Neurospora crassa OR74A: one gene and its partner. The protein of the gene in region 2 interacts with the protein of the main gene of each other region in a pairwise test. Links are inferred from orthologs where the notes say so. Each region holds a gene or a part of one and is shown on either strand. Other genes may lie near its edges.

Region 1 (4,519 bases), about 2.3 Mb from region 2:
GAGGCAATGATTGGGTAGGTAACTCAATATAATCCAGCTCAGGGTCGTTTGTGATGGATGGCCATGGGACTTTAAGATATTGAGTTTGATAGATAGTCGTAGTTTTTTTCACTTCGTAGTATGTAGGGGATAATATAATTTCTTCGCGACCGCTTGCCAAAAGAAAGAAGCATGACCGATGAAAAGCAAAGAATATTGCTTAATCGATATCGGGATATAAGCAAGGGGTAGAGCAATTGGAGACAACGTTCGTCGTTGGGGCGGAAGCCCGTATCAAGTATTGAGAGTATGGCGTAAAGGAAGGAAGGCAATATTTGCGATACTGGTGCCACAGATATCTCAACACTGTCAACACATTTTGTGGGATCCTTCCCTCTTTCTCTGACCAAAGACACGTGGCTGCGCTTACAATGCAAGACGATGATGTCGCTGGCCTACCGATTTTTGCTCTGGAAGGAGAAAGCGTTGCGAGAAAAACCGAGTTCAGTTTTTGGCGCTGTGACGGGGGAGAGAGACACCTGAAACAAACGACCAACTTCTATGCGAACCGTATTCATACAAAACCACCAGTGTAGCCAGTCGTGACATATGTAACATCTAATGCCTTGATGCAATATCTTTTCCTGTAAACGCTCGTAGCCCTTCAAGCACCCAGTTTCAGACGGTCAAGCATCTTATCGATCTTTTCCAGCAAGATCTGGTAGTTGACCGCATCCGACACAAACTCATCCTCAACCAACTTCCCGTCTAATGTTCGTAGACCACCACCTCCCTCTTCCTCACCATCGCGTTCAGTGCATTTCCCCACTTCCTCTCCTCCCACTTCCCTCTGACCGTCAGAAGGCTGTTCGAGACGGATTTCCCCAGCCTCAGCCTCTAATGCCAGGTCTTCTACCTGAGCAGCATCAATCTCGCCCTCCTCATTCAACATCTCTTCAATGCCATCACCCTCGAACCGGAACCGGAATCGCTCGCCCAGGTAATACCGAATATCGTCCAGCAACTCAATAGTGTCCGTCTCCTCACGCCTCTTGAGCCGGGACGCACTTTCCTGAATCAACTCGGCGAACTCCTCTTCGTCGATGTAGTCCTCCAATCGACTGGCCAGGTACCGGGCGGCGAAATCTTCCAGACGCTGGACTTTAAGATCCCAGGCGGCGTGAATGACATCGTAGACGTTAATGGGTTCCACTTCAACTGACTGTCCATCCGCTTCCGGCGATGATCCAGTTGGTGTTTGTTGCTGCCCGCTCGAAGGTGTCGAAGTCGACGTTGCGAGTGGTGACGATTGTAGCTCTTCCGCGGCCCCACCATGGGTGCGGTCTACCAGCGCGTTGCTGGTACCGCTGCCTAGAGTGCTAATTGCTACCGCGGCTTTGGTCTTGAGCTTATCCAACAGTAACATGTCCGCCGCGTAGAGAAGATCTAGAGCCAGCTCGAGCGGGCAGTCAGACCTCTCGGTGTAGAGGAATGTTAGGATGATCTCCAGAACTTCGGGAAGACAGTCGACCTTGATGACGTGGAGATGCTCGGTTTCCTTGGCTTCCATGAACTCGGAGGAGAACATGGTTTCAAAATAGGGACTGCGGATGAGAAAGGCTTTGTGCACCGGGAAGAGGACTGAGCGTTTGGGCTTTTTCGCACCATTCGAAGCCCCGTTTGTTGAGTTCAACGCCGCTGTCGGGCCAATGGGAATACCATTACGAGATATGAGCGCCTCTTCCGCGGGCTCAGCGATATCTTCTCCTTCACCCTCGTCGAACTCGTCCGCACGCAACAAACAGTTTGCGGAAATAGCGTTGTCTCGGGGCCATTTCACGTCCCCCACCCGACAAGTGTCAACTGTGAACTTGTGCTTCAGGACCGTGTCTCGGAAGTAAGCAGTTACTTGAGCCTGAGCACGCTGGACCTCATCTTGATGCCTCTGGCGCGCCAAGCGTCGGTCGGTCGTTGAAAGAACAGCTTCCCACAGGTGGGCAATTTCGAGCTGCTTGCAGAGCTTGTCGATCCCCTTGAAAACCTCTTCCTCAGTGGCTGTACTCCGAGGTCCAACAAGGTCGCGTGGAAGTTCGCCAAGATAGAGATATCTTATGACGACCCGAAAAGCCTCGACAGGAATGGAGTGGGATAGTTTCCAAGTGCTAGTTTCAGGAGCGTCGGCGAATTTTCTTCGGAAATAGGGCGACCTGGAAGAGAGGATGAATTTATGTAGATGGAACGATTCAGAAGCTGTGAGGAGACTGATGTCTGTCGTCTTCGGAATCTCGCGGACAAGCAACGAGGTGATATGGGATGACCAAGCCTGTAAAGGATCCGCAGTCTTGGTGTAATCATAGGAGAGTAGCAAATTCCGAATCTTGTTATTCAGAGCGTTGTAGACCGCGCGCTCTCGCTCGAATGAATCGGGGTCGGCCAGAGCACCTGGGTTTGCGTGTAAGTGACTGGATGGTGGAGAGTTGGCGCTTGGCGATAGGACATACCGGATTCTAACAGGAGTTGCACCAGTTCATAATGCCCGCACAGACTTGCCTTTTGAAATATCAGTGCTACTGCAAAATTCAAGAGGCATGAGGTGGCTTTCGAGAACGTCACATACGATAATGAGTGGAGTATAGTCATACTTGTCTTTGCCATTGATGTTGACGCCACCTGATATCAACTCCTGACAGTGCTTCAGATCGCCTCGACGGCACGCGTGTATGAATTCGTGAAACTCTGGGGAATCATCAAACGGATGCTCATTGCGGAGGACGCCTTGGCGAATCAATTGTTCATCGTCCTTGAGCTTGAGCTCGAGCTGGTCTTTGCGAAGTACCATCTTTTCTGTGCGTATATTTTCTTTGGTTTTGCCAAGTTTTGAATGCTACAAGGAAGGGGTATCGTTATCAAGGAACTAGGAACAGACCGAGAAGTTTATATTCAGAGGAGAATGCACTGAAGGAGGGTGGCGGCACCGCAAATGGGTATCTCGGGTGCCGGAGATATGTAAGCAGACGGACGACCAACGCAATCGGGTCGGCTACGGGGCGCTAGCACGGACCAAGGAGAGAGCCGATGCGGGAAGTCGTGACGGATCGCCACCGGATGGTCGACGGGACAGCCGATGATTTGCGGCAACGGTACACATCTTATCTTATCGTAGATTATCAGTGTTATCGATACGGCTTGCTGGCAGTGGGGCTGGCGGCTTACAGGTATTAATGTTTAGAGTGATACGCTTGCCTCACCGCCCCGCGCCAGTTGCTGGGCAACGCGATGTTGACTGGTAGTACTGCGTAGGTCTCCCTTTGACAGGTTCGCAGGCGTCCTCAATCGGGCTGCCCATCCGAAGCGTCCACGACCAGCCGGGCCGCCCAACAAGACCCGGAACCTAACTTCGATTGGTTACAGGCAATCGTGCGCATCCTTTCCCGGCACTAGGATACACCCATCGCAATCACCATAACCATCGCATTCATCACATCCATCGCATACAACGCTGCTATTGCATTACCGGCAGCTCTTAGACGACAGGGCCTATCCTTCAACACGGTACACTTCCCGAAACGATTGTCTTATGGATCAGGCAGCATACTCTTCCCAATTCATGATAGCCTGTCAGAGGTCCCGTTGATCTAGTCAACCGCCAACATGTCGGAGAGCGACAAGTACGAGCTTCTAGAAAAGATCGGTATGCGAAAACACCCTCCCCCAACCATCGAACGGCGCTCCACATGCACATGCACAAAGGGTAGCAGTGACATTGATGGCTGACAACGACTTGCTTGACAACCACAGGCCATGGCTCGTTTGGCATCATCCGAAAGGTGCGGCGCAAAGCCGACGGCATGATCCTCTGCCGCAAGGAGATCAGTTACCTCAAGATGTCGCAAAAAGAGCGTGAACAGTTGCACGCCGAGTTCTCGATCCTCTCGACCCTACGTCACCCCAATATCGTCGGATACTACCACCGCGAACATCTCAAAGCTACCCAAGACCTACATCTCTACATGGAATACTGTGGCAATGGCGACCTGGGCCGTGTTATCCGCAACCTTATTAAGAATAACCAGTACGCGGAGGAATCGTTCGTCTGGAGCATCTTTTCCCAGCTTGTCACCGCTTTGTACCGCTGCCACTACGGCGTCGACCCTCCAGAAGTCGGCAAGACTGTCCTTGGTTTGGGCTCAACAGCAAGGCCAAAACCTCCTTCGGGTGGCATGACTATTCTGCACCGCGATCTCAAGCCAGAGAACGGTAGGTGACCCTGTGATACGTATGTGGACTGGTCTAACGTGCTGCCTCGTAGTGTTCCTGGGCGAAGACAACTCGGTAAAGCTTGGTGACTTTGGACTCTCCAAGGTCATGCAGTCGCACGACTTTGCCTCGACCTACGTTGGCACCCCCTTCTATATGTCGCCGGAAATCTGCGCGGCAGAGAAATACACGTTAAAGTCGGATATTTGGTCATTAGGATGCATCATATACGAGCTTTGCGCCCGAGAGCCCCCATTCAACGCCAAGACGCATTACCAGCTGG
Region 2 (4,311 bases):
GTCTCCCTCGACCTTGGAAATGCTGCTTATAACGGGAGCTTTGATCCTGATAGCCTTACTCACAAACTGTGCGTTGTAAGAGAACTTGTCGGTATTTTTGACGTTCTTTGTGGCCGGTTCCTTTAGCAGTACCCTGCACTTGGGAACACTCGAAAGTGAAGCCAGTGTCCGCATGAGCTCTGGTGCCGGAATGTTCGTCTTGGCTTGGATCTCGTCGAAGCTCAAACTTTCGCCGTCCACGAGATCGTTGAACAGCATAAGCACAATCATGCCATACGTCGAGACGTTTAGCTCATACCGCCTTTCCTTGCTCAAAGGTCCAGTCTCCTTGCCCGGAACCTTGGGGAACACACACTTGATGTCCGCATTGCCCGCCGAGCTAACCCATGTAAGAACACGGCCGCTCCTGTCCTTCAGGTAGTACTTGTAAAAGCTCTCCTGGAGCCGCTTGATTTCGGGTGGATAGAAGCAATCCAGTTTCGCCCCTTCTCCCTTCGACGTACCACCACCCATTACCTCGGGTGGCCAGTTGTTGGTGGTCAGGACGTTGATGTTGAGGTCAACCATCTTATAGTCGGCATCACCTAAACTGGCGATATGGTCACGGTAGTTGTCGGTTAGGTCCTTGGACAACTCCATGTCCTTGAACATGCCTTCAAACTTGGATGTGAAATGATTGCCCATTTCTGACTTCATACGGGATACCATCTCCTTCTCGGTATGGATTTCAGACTTCCCATGCAGTAGCCGCTTGGCCAGATGTTTCTGGTAATACCTTTCGAACATGTCTCGATCTGTAAGATATCTGAGAAGAACGATGGCTTTATCCAAGACAGCGTCTACTTCGGCTTCCGTCTTGGTCTTGATGCCGCGTTTGAGGTTGTCATCAATGAATAGAGAAACATATTCAGAACTGCGATTGAAAGAGTTGATGAAGTCGGAGAAGCTTCGTGTGATAGCGGACTGTAGCAGGAGATCATCGCAGAAGCAATCGGACAATATTCTGTCGAACTTGTCCTTAAGCTGCAATACGTCGTCCACCCACTTGATAGCGGCAGCGGTTTGCTGCTGAGCCGGATTCAAGGTCTGGGGTTTGGCCTTCTCTGCCGCTTCGCCAGCATCCTCACCATCCCCAGCAGCTGCACCAGCGACGGAAAAGTCTGTGTTCTTGAGCGCCTTCTCAATCTCCAGTCCAAGCTCCCGCACTCTACGTTGTAGAATAACCTTTAGCGCCGATTTCGTACTGTCCACTCTGGATATGAGTTGGTACAGGATCGAAAGGTCGTCCAAGCGATCATTGTCGATCATGGGCTTCAGGCCGCTCCCCTCCATGGCCAGAAAGACATCGAGCTTTGCCTCGATGAGCTCCTTCTCCACAACACTCGCGATTTTGTCGGTCGTCATAATTGATAGGGTAGTACCACATCGCTCGCGCTCCTCGTTTAGTCGCCGTTGGGCATGGCGGAGCCACGTGCTGCAATTTGCTTCCTGGACCAGCTTCTCACACTCTTTACGGTAAAACTCGGTGCTTGCCTCGAGATACCGAGGTTCGAAAAGGGTTAGGTAAAGCCGATGGTTTTCGATCTCGTCATCTGTCTCGTATAAGCTCTCAAGCATCGCAGTTATTTTGCGCACTAGGTTTCGGTTGATGATATCGCCGTCGCGCTCCATGTTGATCAGGTCCAATATGACGGCGCAGAGAATGTCAAAGACGACAAAGTCTTGCTCGATGTCTTCTGCGGCGGCGCCAATGTGGCTCCGGAGGACATTGTTCCGGAAGAGACCAATTGTAACGGCAAACAGAGAGGGCTGCTTCGTCTCTAGGGTATAGACACGGTCGAGATACATGAGCACATCCGCAATCATGTTCATAGACCTATTGTGATCCGTCCATGAGTCTCGTATTCCGCGCAGGAACTTTTCGCCCATCTCCCTGCGCTCATGTGAACTCGACCCCGGGTGCTGAAGCAGCGATATGTTGATCAGGTTCTTGGTGATCAGGGCGGCGATGTTCGGCATGATGTGATCTCGGAACCACTCCTGCTCAAAGTCTCTAACCCTCTCGTAGAGTAGGGCGCCCTTCTTCCGAAGCACAATCTTGTATGAAGCTCGGTATAGTTGTTCGAAGGACAGACGGCCGGCGTTCTGTAGGTGAATATCGGTCATGGCGTCGCGCAAAAGGGCCCAGCATGGCTCGAACTCGCTCTGGTCTCGATTCGTTATCGGCTAACATATCATTAGTTTAACTGCATGGTGAAAAACGCCCAAGCCGCGTAAGTAAACCCAATACACACACCTTCCTTATGGGCCTGATCTTGTTGGTTCTCGATGCCATGATTGCGACGTTTGTGCTCCGTTCCTAAACCGCAAGGGTTTTTGTGAAGGGTGAAGTGGAAGTCCTGCAGGTGTGACCCCTCCAATAGTAGCTATAGTGTCAAGCGACCGCAGTCGGTAACCAGTAGGGGTATCGACGGTGTGTGCGTGAAGAAAAGGTCTGAATAGAAGACGCGTAATAGCTAAAGGGCTATGGTGATTGTGGCCAATGAGTCGTTATTGATGGAGAGTCACAAAGGAAGTTGTCAGGTCGAGCTGGGCCAGGGCGCGCGGGACGAGCTCTCAAAGGGTTGGAATGGGTTCTGCGATTCGCAGCAGATGTACACGATCCCCAGACCGAAGAAAGAAAACGTTTGGTGGTCCGCGAATCGTAAAGTATATGAACCCCCGGGGCTGAAAAAAAAAGACCAAATGGAGAAGTCAAGAGAAAGTGAAAACCCGAGGCATGTTAATTGCCAGAAGTGGCAAACGTGAGAGACGTGGTCGAGGATGAAGTTTAGTAATGGAAGGGTACCTAAACGGTATTTGACAAACGGGAAGTTCAGGCACGCGGTAGATAGGTGTGGATCTCCAGGTACTAGGTACTTTCAACAGAGCTTAAGAGATCGAAGCAGTATCATAGTAGTAGTGTGTTGTAAGTATTATTACACGTTACGTACCAGCTCCAACGCCGGGCACCCAGTGTTGTTTACAGACTCAACAGAAACTCCGTTAATCTGGGTGAGTGTCGAGGGCAGCTCAAGATGAACACCAGATAGAGAGTACTTGGCCTTGCCACTTTACTGGAATTCATCATCGACAGCATCGCCGGAAAGATGCGAACTGTTACAGGTGGAGAGGCGCACTGCAAGGGAAGTAGAGGCAAGTGGATTGGATATTCCGCAGGGATCGTTATCGATAAGAAACATTGCGACAGGGTACCTACCTATGCGGGCGGGCGGGTCGCGATGCTGCTGGACTTCTACGGCGCAATGACGAAACGACCGGATTCTATCCGAATCTATCGCATAATATCTTTTTTTTTGCGCAGAATATCATAATTTTTGGCCGTGATTCAACCAATTCCCAAACGGGATCCCATACCGACCCAACATTCCCATCTAATACCTCCAGCCATGGCCTCCAAACGAGCAGCGGCATCAACACTGTCCTGCATTACCCGACTCGGCTCGGCGCCGGCGCAATCGTTGAAAACCACAACCACAACGTCGCGCTTCCTCAACTACTTCGTTCACTCCTACAGCTCTCAGTGCCAGCGGCCAGTACCACTGTCACCGCAACAGCAAACACAACAACGAGGAGATATCAACTACACACCAATCCGACAAAAACACACCATCCCTCGTCCTCGAAGCCAGCCCTCATCCTCCCCCGAACCTCAATCCCCTCCCTCCGACCAACAACAACCCGCACAACCCAAGCGTGACACGTCCCAAGTCCCCCAGTACGAGCTCACTTTCACCTGCATCCCCTGCGATCACCGATCCAAGCACAAGGTCTCCAAACAGGGTTACCACCACGGGTCCGTGTTGATCTCGTGCCCGAACTGCCGTAACCGACACGTCATCAGCGACCACCTCAAGCTCTTCGGAGATCGGAAAGTGACGGTCGAGGATTTGTTGAAAGAAAAAGGGATGATGGTCAAGAGGGGGACTCTGGGCGAGGATGGGGATGTGGAGTTTTGGGAGGATGGGACAAGTACCATGAGGGAGCCGGAGCCGGAGCCGGCGCCGGAGAGGCCGAAGAAGGAGGTGGATAATAGTCCGCCGGGGTCAACTTTCAAGAATGTGAGGCCTGGAGAGGGGAAGAAGGATGGGGATGAGAGCAATTGAATGTTGGATGGATAAAAGGGGGAGTGGCCATCACTGGAAATGCCTTGGCTGGAGAAAGAAGGGGCCGTGACGAGCGGGTGTGACTCTTTGGGTGTTCTGGCTTTTGGGAGTCGCTGACGGATTTACCAAGTCCAGCAAGGGCAAT

What was found.
Region 1: the proteins of NCU02498 (region 2) and NCU03186 interact in binary tests that used the Schizosaccharomyces pombe proteins (3 or more experiments, as listed by UniProt). The link is inferred for Neurospora crassa OR74A from reciprocal best matches to the Schizosaccharomyces pombe genes cul3 and btb3.

Annotation. Positions count from the first base shown.
Region 1 is NC_026501.1:4,843,798-4,848,316, forward strand, and holds NCU03186 (ankyrin repeat and BTB/POZ domain-containing protein), read right to left. Parts: upstream 3,045-4,519; 5' UTR 2,819-3,044; coding exon 2,597-2,818; intron 2,530-2,596; coding exon 2,481-2,529; intron 2,422-2,480; coding exon 644-2,421; 3' UTR 301-643; downstream 1-300. Other genes in the region: nim-1 (G2-specific protein kinase nimA), read left to right, coding at 3,631-3,670, 3,778-4,236, 4,289-4,519. UniProt on the Schizosaccharomyces pombe protein: Probable substrate-specific adapter of an E3 ubiquitin-protein ligase complex which mediates the ubiquitination and subsequent proteasomal degradation of target proteins.
Region 2 is NC_026501.1:2,526,978-2,531,288, forward strand, and holds the start of NCU02498 (Cullin-3), read right to left. Parts: upstream 2,842-4,311; 5' UTR 2,336-2,841; coding exon 2,297-2,335; intron 2,227-2,296; coding exon 1-2,226. Other genes in the region: NCU02499 (DNL zinc finger domain-containing protein), read left to right, coding at 3,450-4,166. UniProt on the Schizosaccharomyces pombe protein: Probable core component of multiple cullin-RING-based BC3B (BTB-CUL3-BTB) E3 ubiquitin-protein ligase complexes which mediate the ubiquitination and subsequent proteasomal degradation of target proteins.